2 linked regions of the Anolis sagrei genome follow. The protein of the gene in region 2 interacts with the protein of the main gene of each other region in a biochemical or structural test. Links are inferred from orthologs where the notes say so. Each region holds a gene or a part of one and is shown on either strand. Other genes may lie near its edges.

Region 1 (7,142 bases), on a different chromosome or scaffold from region 2:
ATGACACTTTTTTGAAAGCTGAAAATCATGCCTATTTTGAAGAATATTCTTTATTTGAGGATTGGAAAGCATGCCATTATATAGATGCCAAAAATCCAGTGTGTGGGTATTTTAAGAAAAAACCAAGACAAATTGCAAGAAAAAGCTAGTACAGACAGTCCCCAAATTACAAACAAGATTGGTTCTGTAGGTTTATTCTTAAATCTAATTTGTAAAGTGTAATTCCATCCAAAAATGTATATTCTTTGGCTTTGGATAACTTTGGGAAGGGTTAACGTAATGTTTGTTTTGCCGTCTGTGATCCTATTCAGAAGATTTCTCCTCACTTTCCGTTCCTGTGATAATTAGATTTTGCAAAATTTGGCTTGTTGTGGAAACAAGGATTGGTGATAAAGCTTCAGCTGAGACACCTTTCCCCATGAGAGCTCTTTCAGGAGTGAAATTCCCTTTCTGGGAGTATTTTTCTTTCACTTTCTGTTGTCCCCTGCCTCTGTTCTTAACTATGAGTCTTTTGTAAATCAAATGTAACTCGGGGACTGTCTGTATATCTGAAATTCATTACCATTACAGGTAGTTATAATGTGATTAAAACAGATTCAGAACTTGTTGCATGCCAAAAAATTAACCAAATTGGATTATTTCTTTAAAAAGAAAATGTGAGCTCTGTGTATCATTAATTTTGATAGCCAGTTACTGGTATTTTGAAAAACTTGCACCTTCTTGTCTTTGAATTGTTCCAGGCTACCTCTGTATCAATGCATAAAAAATAGGACAAGATAAAACATCTCTGAGAATTACTTATGGTACTTAAGGATGAGTTTTCTATATTATCATAATTATCTTATTTATTTATTTATTTATTTATTTATTTGAAACTTTTGTATCCTGATCTTCTCTACCTCCATAGAGGGACTCAGACCGGCTAACAGCAAGAATTCAATGCCAACAATAATACCTTTTAAAACATGATACAATAGGTTAAATTACATATAAGATAAAATACATATAAACCAATTTGCCAAGGTAAAAACAACGTCCAACTCAGTCCGCACATTGTGGTCAATAACTTTAGTCAATTTCTGGTCTCAACCACTCTGGAAATGCCTCGCTCCAAAACCAGGATTTTACTTGCTTCCTAAAGGATGGGAGGGAGGGGGCAGATCTAATTTCATTCTATAGCCGGAGGCCACCACAGAAAAGGCCCTGTCTCGTCCCCACCAGATGTGACTGCAAAAGTGGCGGGACCGAGAGCAGGGCCTCTCCGAAAGATCTTAATGCCCTTGATTCATATGGGAGAATATGTTCAGACAGGTAAACTGGGCCGGAACCGTAAAGGGTTTTGTAGGTTAAAACCAGCACTTTGAATTGTGCTCGGAAGCTAATTGACAGCCAGTGGAACTGCCACAACAAGGGAGTTGTGCACTCCCTGTAACCCCGCTCCCATTAGTAGCCTGGCTGCCGACGATTGTACTTATTGCAGCTTCCGGGCAGTCTTCTGAGGCAACCCCACATAGAGAGTGTTGCAGTAGTCTATACGGGATGTAACCAGAACGTGGACTACCATGGCCAAGTCAGACTTCCCAAGGTACGGGTGCAGCTGGCGCACAAGCTTTAACTGTGCAAGAGCTCTCCTGGTCACCGCCGAAATCTGGGGTTCCAGGTTTAGCGATGAGTCCAGGATCACTCCCAAGCTGCGAACCTCGCCTTCAAGGGCAGTGTAATCCCATCAAGCACAAGCTGTAACCCTATGCCCTGTTCGGCCTTGTGACTGACCAGGAGGACCTGTCTTGTCTGAATTTAGTTTCAATTTGTTCACTCTCATCCAGTCCATTACAGTGGCCAAGCACTGGTTCAGGACTTGCACAGCCTTTTTAGTAGCAGGTGGGAAGGAGTGACAGAGTTGGACATAATCTGTGTACAGGTGACACCGCACCCCAAAACTCCGGATGATCTCCCCTAACGGCTTCATGTATATGTTGAATAACATAGGGGACATAGGGGACAATAATGAGTCCTGCAGGACCCCACAGGACAATGGCAGCAAAGCCCAGCAGGAGTACCCCAACAACACCTTCTGGGAACGACCCTTGAGGAAGGACTGAAGCCACTGCAAAGCAGTTCCTTCAAGGCCCATTCCTGCGAGGCGCCTCAGAAGGATATTTATACATTGTCTTTTCCCAAAACTGGGACTTAAGGGGCCTTACATTCAGGGTGCCCCCAAAATGTACAGATATTGAACAATTTATAATTGTAGGGGGTGGGGAAGAATTGCAATGATTTTGCAAAATATCAGAGAAGTGTCACGAAATGAGCGATTTTCAGTTTGCAACTTTGCTTTAACAATACAAAATGCATTGCTGCGCAGGGAGGACAGTTTGTACACCTTGCATAAAGTGACCATTTAAAAGGAAATTTCTAATTCCAATTAAAGTTAAAAGGGATGTAATGGTGAGAATGTTGAATTGAGGCCCCTCCTACACTGCCATACAAAGTCCAGATTATCTGCTTTACACAGGATTATATGGCAATGTAAAGGTTTTCCCCTGACATTAAGTCCAGTGGAGTCCAACTCTGGGGTGGTGCTCATCTCCATTTCTAAGCTGAAGCGCTGGTGTTATCCGTAGATGCCTCCAAGATCATGTGGCCAGCATGACTGCATGGAGCACCGCTACCTTCCCGCCAAAGCGGTACCTATTGATCTACTGACATTTGTATGTTTTCGAACTACTAGTTTGGCAGAAGCTGGGGCTAACAGGAGCTCACTCCGCTCCCTGGATTTGAACTGCCAACTTTTTGCTCAGTGTATGGCACTGTAGACTCATATACATAATCCTGTTCAAAGCAGATAATATGGATTATCTGATTTGATAATCTGGATTATATGGCAGTGTAGAAGAGGCCTTAGAATCTCGAAACCAGCGTTTGAATCCCCACTCAACCATGGAAACACACAAAGTGATAATCTGGATTATATGGCAGTGCAGAAGAGGCCTTGGACTCTGGAGATCAGTGTTTGAATCCCCACTCAACTATGGAAACACAGAAAGTGAGCTCAAACAAGTCACACTCCCTCAGCCTCTGAGGAAGACAACTCCCTCTGGACAAACCTCGCCAAGGAAATCCCATGATAGGGTCTCCATAAATTGCAAATGATGGCATACAACGAGTTAAATGGCAATATTAAAATCCAGTGCAACTATTTGCAATACTACAACTATTTAGAACACACAACATTAAAAACACACTAACAATCATGCTTCAAATGCCACTTGGTTATTAGCACTATGGCCTTCAAAACCAAAAGCAGGGATCAAAATTAAAAGGGAAGGCTCTGCTGCAACTGTCTTAAGACACGCAACGCTGAAAACACAGGAAAAGGACTGTGGTGCAACTGGCTGGGAGTCAGCTGCATTAAGATCACTACTGACCGAAAGGTCATGAATTCAAAGCCAGCCTGGATTGGAGTGAGCTTCCGACCATTGTGTAGCTTGCTGTCAACCTTTGCAGCCTGAAAGACAGTTGCATCTGTCAAGTAGGAAATGTATGTATCGCTTATGCGAGGAGGCTAATTTAACTAATTTATGACGCCATAAAATCTCCAGCAAGCAAGCATAGAATGAGAAAGTACTCCATCAGTGTCACAAATGGACGTTGAAGCGACAGCTCCCCTGGTGGCCAGAATACCCTCATGAAAAAGCTGGAAAGTTAAATAGCCTCTGTGTGTCTGTCTATATATGTTGTGTGTCTATGGCATTGAATGTTTGCCATGTATACTATGTACATTGAAATCCGCCCTGAGTCCCCTGCGGGGTGAGAATGGCGGAAAAGAAATACTGTAAACAAATAAACAAGTAAGACTGAAATGCAAGGCAAGCAAAGATCAACACTAAAGTGCAATGCAATGCCGCCACTATCGAAATTAAACCACGACGCAGTATAGTATTGCAACTATTGAACACACACTTTGAAGTACGCCGACGAGCACACTGAGAAGATGATTCATTGAGGAATACTGTGATCCTTTTTTTAACCTCTGCAAAACAAACCCCCTCTCTGGGCGGGCGCGCGCGCCTCTTTCACGCGCAAGAGCCATCGCTTCCTCCCCTTCCGTGTTTCCCTCCCGAGGGTGGGCGGGGCTTCAGGGGCGGGAGAGACCGGATTGGCTCCGCTCTCTGTCCCGGAAGCGGCCCGAGAGAGAGGCTGGCACGGCCTGGCAAGATGGGCAAGAAGGAGCGCGGCGGTGAGTGACTAGAGAGAGGCTTCGTTCTCTTTGGAACCATCGCAGGCCTGGGCAAACCTTGGCCCTCCAGGTGCTTTGGACTTCAACTCCCAGCATTCCTCACAGCCTCAGGCCCCTTCCTTAAGCGGCTGAGGGGGAAAAGGAAGGGGCCTGAGGCTGTGAGGAATGCTGGGAGTTGGAGTCCAAAACACCTGGAGGGCCAAGGTTTGCCCAGGCCTGTCCATAGCAGGACATCATGTCAGAGAGAGAGAGAGCTGAATATACACCAGTATGTTCAGAGTCTTTGCTCAAACTCCCTTCTGCCTGTAAGACAGAAAGGACTACCAGATTCAGAGGAACTACTGTCCCTAAACACTAGTCTTGTTTAAGTTGATTCCTGAACACTATGAGGGAGGGGGCCAATCTAATCTCACTGGGAAGGAAGTTGCACAGCCAAGGGGCCACAACTGAGAAGGCGGTGGGACAGAGAGCAGGACCTCCCCAGCAGATTCTTAATGTTCTAGCTACCTCATAAAGGGAGATGTGTTTGGATAGGTAAGCTGGACCTATCCAAACAAAAGTATCTCTTTTGTGCATAGCAGTGCTTCTTGGTGGGCTGAGGACCACCAAGACAAAAATCTGGTCCACGGGCCTCCTTCCTCTTTATTTTTTTAATTTCCACTCCTTTCACACCGCCTGCCACTCTTTCCCTGTCACTGACGATTGCATATGTTCTGTATCAGAAACTAGAGCTGATGAGGTTTTCTGAATCAGCACCCCAAACTAAATCTAAAGTTGACCAAAAACTGATTTGTAACCCTTTTGGTACTAATGTTGGATAGTGGTCAAGTGATCCCTGGTCAAAAAAGGTTGGGAACCACTGGTGTATAGAATATGTGGGTTGGGTAAAGGTGAAGAATACACACTTTTCTCCTGGATTCAGTCCTCAGCATCCTCATAGATATAGATATAGATATATATGCCACTTTTCTCATCCCTGGGGGAACTCAAAGCAGTTCACAACATAATCCATGACAAAATTCATGCCTCATACAAATAAACATCACACCTCAAATTGACAACAAATGACAATAGATTAAAACCATTAAAATTTATATATATATATATATATATATATATATACACACACCCTATTCCAGATTCTTGGGCAGATGCTATAAAAGGATCTTCAGAGTTAAACTAATAGGAATATGGAAGAATTACCATAGTCCCCATATTTGCCTTGGGCAGTTAAAAGGAGCCATTGTCCCTTAACCATAGAAACATGTTTTGTTGTCTAAACCAGGCATGGGAAATACCTTCAGATCATACTAAACTGCAAATCCCTTTAGCCCTTGTCACTTTATGCAATCTAAAGTTGTCTGCAGTTTTAAATTTCTACTATAAACGGTTTTTATGTGTGTATGTATGGAAACGTATCTGCATTGGTTTTCAGATAAGAAAAAGTCTAAGAAGCGGCACTATGAGGAGGAGAATGAGGACGAATACGACATCCCAGGCAGAGACTCACAAGAAGCAGTTCCTTCGGCAGCAGGAAAGCAAGTGGAAGTTTCTCAGAAAAAAGTAGATGAATATGGGGCGAAGGACTACAGGAGCCAGATGCATCTCAAGGATGATCATTCCTCCCGCCCGCTGTGGGTGGTAAGCGCCATCAAACACAGAGATTTCCTTAGAGCTTTGTTCACATTCTTTAAAGGAAACCTCTAGAGGTGTTTGCCTGTGCTGAAAGAACTGACATTGAAACTTACTTTGGCATGCTTTGAGAATGGCTGAGGAAGATTAGACCTTGGTAATGCTTTGGAGTACAGTTTTTACAATTCCTACTCATTGACCAAAGGTGCATCTGCACAGTTACTGGCAATTTGGCAGTACTTTAACTTCTATGGCTCAATGCTGTGGAATTCTGGGAGCAGTACTTTAACAAAGACTTTCATTTTCTCTGCCAAAGAGTTCTGGTGCCTCATCAAACTTCAATTTCCATGATTCCATATCATTGCGTTATGGCTGTTAACGTGTGCTAATTTCCCCAGATCATACTTGGAATCAGAACGCATTCTGGGAGCTAGCGTCCAAAAATCTAACCTACATTTCCAAGCTTTCATTTTCCAGTTCATAGTGGAAGAGAATTTTGATCCTAGCATTTTCAACAAACTTTAGTCAAGTGATTCTGAAATATGTATCTAGTTACACTTCTGGGAGTTCTCTTCACTCTTTGAATAACAAGTTTTTTCACTTTTTCTCTTTTCTCTTCCCAAATGCTAGATCATGAACTGATTCTGGCTGTCAGGAAATTTCAAAAATGATTTGTCTTTTGGACAAAAGCCAAAAATTCTGCCACTGGTTGGGAAGCACAAATGCAAATATTATTGCAAAACTGATGGATAGTTCCATTGCACAGCAGTTGAGTAAAACACCTCTGGGGTGTGCCAAAATACCAAGTTAGTCCTTGGAAGGGACACGTACCCTCGGTCCTATAGGAAGTCAATGGCATACTAACTCTGAGTATTCCTAACTTAAGACAACTTTATGACATTAATGGAGTTGTTGTAAGTCACCAGGCAATTTGAAGGAACATGCCTACCTATGCTTCTTTCTATATTTAAAGGCAGCAGTACAAAGCATTTAAGTTGCTTGCAGAGTAATAATATTGCAATTCTTCTGTCCTTTCATAGGCTCCTGATGGCCATATTTTCCTTGAAGCCTTTTCGCCTGTTTACAAATATGCCCAGGATTTTCTGGTTGCCATTGCTGAGCCAGTTTGCCGACCCTCCCATATACATGAATATAAATTGACTGCTTACTCTCTCTATGCTGCTGTCAGCGTGGGTTTGCAAACAGATGATATCACAGAGTATTTGCGGAAGCTGAGTAAAACTGGTGTGCCCGATGGGATCATTCAGTT
Region 2 (6,889 bases):
TGCAGCAGATTTTGCTATAGTCTTTCCATGAATATCTCAGAGTCTCAACTAATTCAACATAGTTTGCAGCAGCCACATAAAGTTTCTGGAGTATAACAACTAGTTTCAAAGTAAGCACCACACAATGAAACAGGAAATAACACTTTCAAACAAGGAACAGATTTTTTTTTCAAATTTTGTTATATTGATAGTATTATCAATCAAAGGCAATATGTGGGATACTGTATATGTGCTGTTTTATACCTGCACACTGATTCCCACAAAAATCGGTTTTGTAATAAGGATAGTATTTCTTGAAGGTTTACTTTTTATTTGAGAAAGAAGAGTTGTTGTTTTGAAAAGTGACCCTGATGAGAAAAAATCCCACTAGGGTAGATTTTGTAAAGGTTTATAGAAATCTGGGTAAGTTTTTATGAGGCTCAGTACTAAGTTTACCGTAGATGTATGTGTGTGAAGAAAGGAAGAATCCATATGTAGGTGCACTGCATGTGTCATTAAAAGCAAATGTTTCTTTGCTACAATCAGTAGAGTGTAACAGGGAAGTTTACAGTATACCCTTTGGAGTTCTTTGCAAAACCTTGCTGTAGAAGCCAAGATCTCAGCATTTTGTATATTGCAATACAATATTGCATATTGTATGTATCATGCACTTTGAAAAACCATTTGTTTTGCATATCATAGAATCATAGAGTTGGAAGAGACCACATGCAGGGGCGGCTCAACCCATTATGCAAAGTAAGCATTCGTAGTATAGTTGATTTTGCCCAAGGGCGCTCTTGAGGGGCTCTTGGGGGAAAATAGACCTTGACATATGCGAGGTGTTGTTACTGGGATGTATAGTTCACCTACAATCAAAGAGCATTCTGAACTCCACCAATGATGGAATTGAACCAAATATTGCACACAGAACTCCCACGAACAAAAAATATATATCAGTGATTGGTTGAGGGGGGGGGGGCAAAATACTGTTTGCTTATCATTGAAAATTACCTAGGGCCATCTCTGACCTCATGGGCCATCCAGTCCAACCCCCTGCCAAGAAGCAGGAGTTTGAAATAAATAAACAAAGGAAAGAAAGGAAGGGGCCTGAGGCTGTAAGGAATGGTGGAAGATGAAATCCAAAACACCCAGAGAGCCCAAGTTTGCTCATGTCTGCTTTATTGGCACACAACAACAAAATCAGCCTCCTAATGTTGTATGCACAGCATCCTAATGTTGTATTTCCTCATGTTGTATGCCCAACCTGAGAAAATCACAGATAAAAGAAACATCCTGAAAAGTGACTCATCTCAAGGATAACATTTGCAGTAGTCTCACAAAAGAGTGCATCAGAGTTGTTCAGAAGATAGAGAATTCAGTAATGCAAATCAAAATACAGCTTAATCCATCTTAGCTTAATCCGTTCTGCTGGACCTCTCAGCGGCCTTCGATACCGTCGACCACGGTATCCTTCTGAGTCACCTCGCGGGAATGGGCCTTGGTGGCACTGCTCTGCAGTGGCTCAGGTTCTTCCTAGAGGATCGTACTCAGAAGGTGTTGCTGGGGGACAACTGCTCTACCCCACAACCATTGACTTGTGGGGTTCCGCAGGGCTCTATATTGTCCCCCATGTTATTTAACATCTACATGAAGCCGTTGGGAGAGATCATCCGGAGTTTCGGAGTGCGGTGTTATCTGTACGCAGATGACGTCCAACTCTGTCACTCCTTCCCACCTACTACTAAGGAGGCTGTTCAGGTCCTGAACCGTTGCTTGGCCGCTGTATCGGACTGGATGAGGGCGAACAAATTGAAATTGAATCCAGATAAGACAGAGGCACTCCTGGTCAGTCGGAGGGCCGAACAGGGTATAGGGTTACAGCCTGTGTTGGACGGGGTTACACTCCCCCTGAAGATGCAGGTTCGCAGCTTGGGTGTGATCCTGGACTCCTCGCTAAGCTTGGAACCCCAGGTCTCGGCGGTGTCCAGGGGAGCATTTGCACAACTCAAACTTGTGCGCCAGCTGCGCCTGTACCTTGGGAAGTCGGACTTGGCCACGGTGGTCCACGCTCTGGTCACATCCCGGATTGATTACTGCAACGCGCTCTACGTGGGGTTGCCCTTGAAGACGGCCCGGAAGCTTCAGATGGTCCAGCGCTCGGCAGCCAGGTTGCTAACAGGAGCGGCACTCAGGGAGCACACCACTCCTCTGCTGAGCCAGCTCCACTGGCTGCCAATCCGCTACCGGGCTCAATTCAAGGTGCTGGCCTTGGCCTATAAAGCCCTAAACGGTTCTGGCCCCGCTTACCTCTCCGAACGCATTTCCGCCTACGAACCGACTAGAATATTAAGATCGTCTGGGGAGGCCCTGCTCTCGATCCCGCCTGCGTCACAGGTGCGCTTGGCGGGGACGAGAGACAGGGCCTTCTCAGTGGTGGCCCCTCGGCTATGGAATGCCTTACCAGCAGACATCAGACAGGCACCTTCGTTGCTGGCGTTTCGGAGAATGGTCAAGACCTGGCTTTACGAACAAGCGTTTGGCTAGGCAATGCAACTAACTAAGGAAGACGGTAACTGAACATAGGAACGGCACAATGACTATGAGAATGGATCTGACTTTAACGAAGGCGCTATATATGTTGTTTGTTGATTTGTCTGTCTGATGTTAATTGTGGAGCGACGTTGTCATCCCGGTTGTTTTATTGCTGTGTTTTTAATTGCACTGTAAACCGCATAGAGTCGCCTGTCAAGGGCTGAAATATGCGGTATAAAAGTGAAGCAAATAAATAAATAAATAAATAGTAAACTTTTCCTCCATTTTAGCAGGAAGAAATGAAATGCAAAGATACAGAATGGGGGACAATGCCTGGCTTGAGAGCAGTACGTGTGAAAAAGATCTTGGAGTCCTCGTGGACAACAAGTTAAACATGAGCCAACAATGTGATGTGGCGGCAAAAAAAGCCAATGGGATTTTGGTCTGCATCAATAGGAACATAGTGTCTAGATCTAGGGAAGTAATGCTACCCCTCTATTCTGCTTTGGTTAGACCACATCTGGAATATTGTGTCCAATTCTGGGCACCACAATTCAAGAGAGATATTGACAAGCTGGAATGTGTCCAGAGGAGGGCGACTAAAACGATCAAGGGTCTGGAGAACAAGCCCTATGAGGTGCGGCTTAAGGAGCTGGACATGTTTAGCTTGAAGAAGAGAAGGCTGAGAGGAGATATGATAGCCATGTATAAATATGTGAGAGGAAGCCACAGGGAGGAGGGAGCAAGCTTGTTTTCTGCTTCCCTGGAGACTAGGACACGAAACAATGGCTTCAAACTACAATAGAGGAGATTCCATCTGAACATGAGGAAGAACTTCCTGACTGTGAGAGCCGTTTAGCAGTGGAACTCTCTGCCCCGGAGTGTGGTGGAGGCTCCTTCTTTGGAAGCTTTTAAACAGATGCTGGATGTCCATCTGTCAGGGGTGATTTGAATGCAACATTCCTGCTTCTTGGCAGGGGGTTGGACTGGATGGCCCCTGAGGTCTTTTCCAACTCTAGGATTCTATGAAGTCCAAAACACCCGGAGAGCCCAAGTTTGCCCATGCCTGTAATACTAGTACCATTTAAAAACCAAGTGATTAAAACCCTTACAAGCATTATGGAACACAGTTTGCAACATAGGAAACGCTTGCGGCCTGGAAGCGTCATGGCGAGTGTGATTCCTTCCCTTTCCCTTCCACTCACCGGAGTCGCCCAGCACCAGCACTTTCACCCGCTCCAGGGCCGCCATCCCTCCTCGCCGACCAAGAGCCACTTCCTATTCCGCCCACTGGCCAGTCGCTTCCTTCCTATTGGCCGAGGAAGGAGCGGGGAGGCGCGAGGAACGCCAGGCGTCGCTTAGTAGTGACGTCAAGCGGAATCGTGTTTGGAGGCAGAGTCGTGACGCACGCCCGCGCGCGCTGAGGGTCTCGCGGCGAAGGAGCTTGGCTTTTGGGTCCCTCACAGGTCAGTCCGAGGGCTGTACCGGCTCCAACCCTTGCCTGCCCCGAGGGCCTCTTTCTTGAGGGAGTAGCTTGGTGGGCTTGTGTTGCTATTCTGTGCTCTTCAAGGGAAAACACTCGGATGGCGGCGGGCCAGAATACATCTGCCTCAGGAAGAAAAGCAGCAGGGAGAGTGTGGTCACCTGTGGCAAGAAGCTTGCACGCGTGTTGGGTATAACTATGCCATTATCCGGACGGAGGCTAAAAGGGGAGCTGGACAGAGAAGGGGAGGGGGTGTTATTTAGAACTTTTATATACCGGTCTTCTCACCTCCAACGAGGGACTCAGGCCTGTTTACAACAAGGGAGTTCATGCACAATAGTTTAAAAACATCACATCAATAATACACTAATATAAACACATTAAAGCACTATCATCATATATAAAGCAAGTCGTTAGTATAAAAATCACTATGCGTCCCCATCTGTCCGTGTGGTCAAAAGTCATTGCCTCATTCATCAAATGCCAGATTCCAAAGCCAGGTTTTCACCAACTTTCTAAAGGTCAGGAGGGAAGGGGCAGTTCTAATTTCCAATGGGAAAGAGTTCCAGGGCCAAGGGGCCACCACCAAAAAGGCGTCCCCACCAAACGCGATTGCGAGGATGGTGGGACCGAGAGCAGGGCCCCTCCAGAAGATCTTAACAACCTTGAAGGTTCATAGCTTCCGAGCACAATTCAAAGTGCTGGTTTTGACCTACAAAATCCTTTACGGCTCCGGCCCAGCATACTTGTCCGAACGTATCTCCTTCCACATCCCACCTCGGAAGTTTAAGATCTTCTGGGGAGGCCCTGTTCTCGGCCCCACCTTTATCACAAGTGAGACTGGTGGGGACGAGGGACAGGGCTTTCTCGGTGATGGTCCCTCACCTGTGGAATGCACTCCCCGGGGAAATTAGGTCATCAACATCCCTCCTCTCCTTCAGGAGGAAGTTAAAAACCTGGATTTGGGACCAGGCCTTTGGGTAAGCTGGCAGATGGATAAAAGACAATGATGACCAGAGTAGAAAAGGACAATGACAATGCTGGATGGATTATGAATGTATGAATTGGCGAACGTTGACCACAAGATGATTTTATTGCTGCTATTGTATTAATTTGATTGTTTTAACTAGTTATAACGTCGTTATATTGTATTTTGTATATTGTACTTTGTGAATTGTTGAGCATCGAATTGTACCTATTTTTGTAAGCCGCCCTGAGTTGAGAAGGGCAGGGTAGAAGCACTCCAAATAAATAAATATGGGAGAATCCGTTCCGATAGGGAAACTGGGCCGGAGTTGTTTAGGCATTTGTAGGTCAACACCAGCACTTTGAATTGTGCTCGGAAGCTAATTGGCAGCCAGTGGAGCTGGCGCAACAGAGGAGTAATATGCTTCCTGTACCCCGCTCCTGTTAGTAATCTGGCTGCCGCTCGTTGGACTGATTGCAGCTTCCGAGCAGTCTTCAGAGGCAACCCCATGTAGAGAGCATTGCAGTAGTCTATACGGGATCTAACCAGAGCGTGGACCACCGTGGCAAAGTCAGACTTCCCAAGGTACGGGCGCAGCTGGCGCACAAGTTTTAATTATGCAAAAGCTCCCCTGGGGTTCCAGGCTCAGCGATGAGTCCAGGATCACTCCTGAGCTGCGAACCTGCGTCTTCAGGGGAAGTGTAACCCCGTCGATCACAGGCTGTAACCCTATGCCCTGTTCGGCCTTTCGACTGACCAGGAGTACCTCCGTCTTGTCTGGATTTAATTTCAATCTGTTCGCCCTCATCCTGTCCGCTACAGCGGCCAAGCACCGGTTCAGGACTTGAACAGCCTCCTTAGTAGCAGGTGGGAAGGAGTAACAGAGTTGGACATCATCTGCGTACAGAAGACACCGAACCCCAAAACTCCGGATGATCTCTCCCAACGGCTTCATGTATATGTTAAATAACATAGGGGACACTACTGAACCCTTCAGGACTCCACATTACAATGGCCGTGGGGTCGAGCAGGAGTCCCCTAGTAACACCTTCTGGGAACAACCCTCGAGGAAGGACTGGAGCCACTGCAAAGCAGTACCCCCAAGGCCCATTCCCGCGGGCGTCCCAGAAGGATACCGTGGTTGACAGTATCGAAGGCCGATGAGAGGTCCAGCAGAACCAACAGGGACACACTCCCCCTGTCTAGTTCCCGGCAAAGATCATCCACTAAGGCGACCAAGGCTGTCTCAGTACCATGTCCCGGCCTAAAGCCAGACTGCTCTGGTAGGCTGTTAGGAATTGTGGGAGTTGAAGTCCAAAACACCTGGAGGGTCCAAGTTTGCTCATGCCTGAGTTAAACCATTTCCCCTCTGTGTTCCTGTTATTCCTCTCACCCATGCCCCTTCTACATTACCATATAAAATCCAGATTATCTGCTTTGAAGTGAATATTCCTGCTTCTTGGCAGGGGGTTGGACTGGGTGGCCCATAAGGTCTCTTCCAACTCTAGGATTCTATGATTATAAGGGCTCTTCCACACTGCCCCTTTATCCCAGAATCTGATCCCAGTTTATCTGGCATTGGGGACACATACATTCCAGTTTAAAGCAGATAATCTGGGATCAGATCCTGGGATGAAGGGCAGTGTGGAAGGGCCCTAAAATGTTCAAAGGTCTGGAGACCATGCCCTATGAAGAGCATCGTAAAGAGCTGGGGATGTTTAGCCTGCAGAAGAGAAGGTTGAGAGGAGACATCATAGCCATGGATAAATATGTGAAAGGATATCATAAGGAATAGGGAGCAGACATGCCCTGGAGTTGGGCACTCACTGGAACAATGGGTTCAAATTCCAGGAAAGGAGGTTCCATGTGAATATTAGGAAGAATTTCCTGAATGTAAGTGCTATTTAGCAGTGGAACTCTGCCTCTTT

The links.
Region 1: the proteins of GTF2E1 (region 2) and ERCC3 form a complex in vitro, tested with the Homo sapiens proteins (2 studies listed by BioGRID). The link is inferred for Anolis sagrei from reciprocal best matches to the Homo sapiens genes GTF2E1 and ERCC3.

The regions. Positions count from the first base shown.
Region 1 is NC_090021.1:226,492,322-226,499,463, reverse strand, and holds the start of ERCC3 (general transcription and DNA repair factor IIH helicase/translocase subunit XPB), read left to right. Parts: upstream 1-4,142; 5' UTR 4,143-4,218; coding exon 4,219-4,240; intron 4,241-5,675; coding exon 5,676-5,881; intron 5,882-6,912; coding exon 6,913-7,142. UniProt on the Homo sapiens protein: ATP-dependent 3'-5' DNA helicase/translocase. Binds dsDNA rather than ssDNA, unzipping it in a translocase rather than classical helicase activity. Component of the general transcription and DNA repair factor IIH (TFIIH) core complex.
Region 2 is NC_090022.1:165,541,963-165,548,851, forward strand, and holds the start of GTF2E1 (general transcription factor IIE subunit 1), read left to right. Parts: upstream 1-3,866; 5' UTR 3,867-3,977; intron 3,978-6,889. Other genes in the region: RABL3 (rab-like protein 3), read right to left, coding at 3,717-3,762.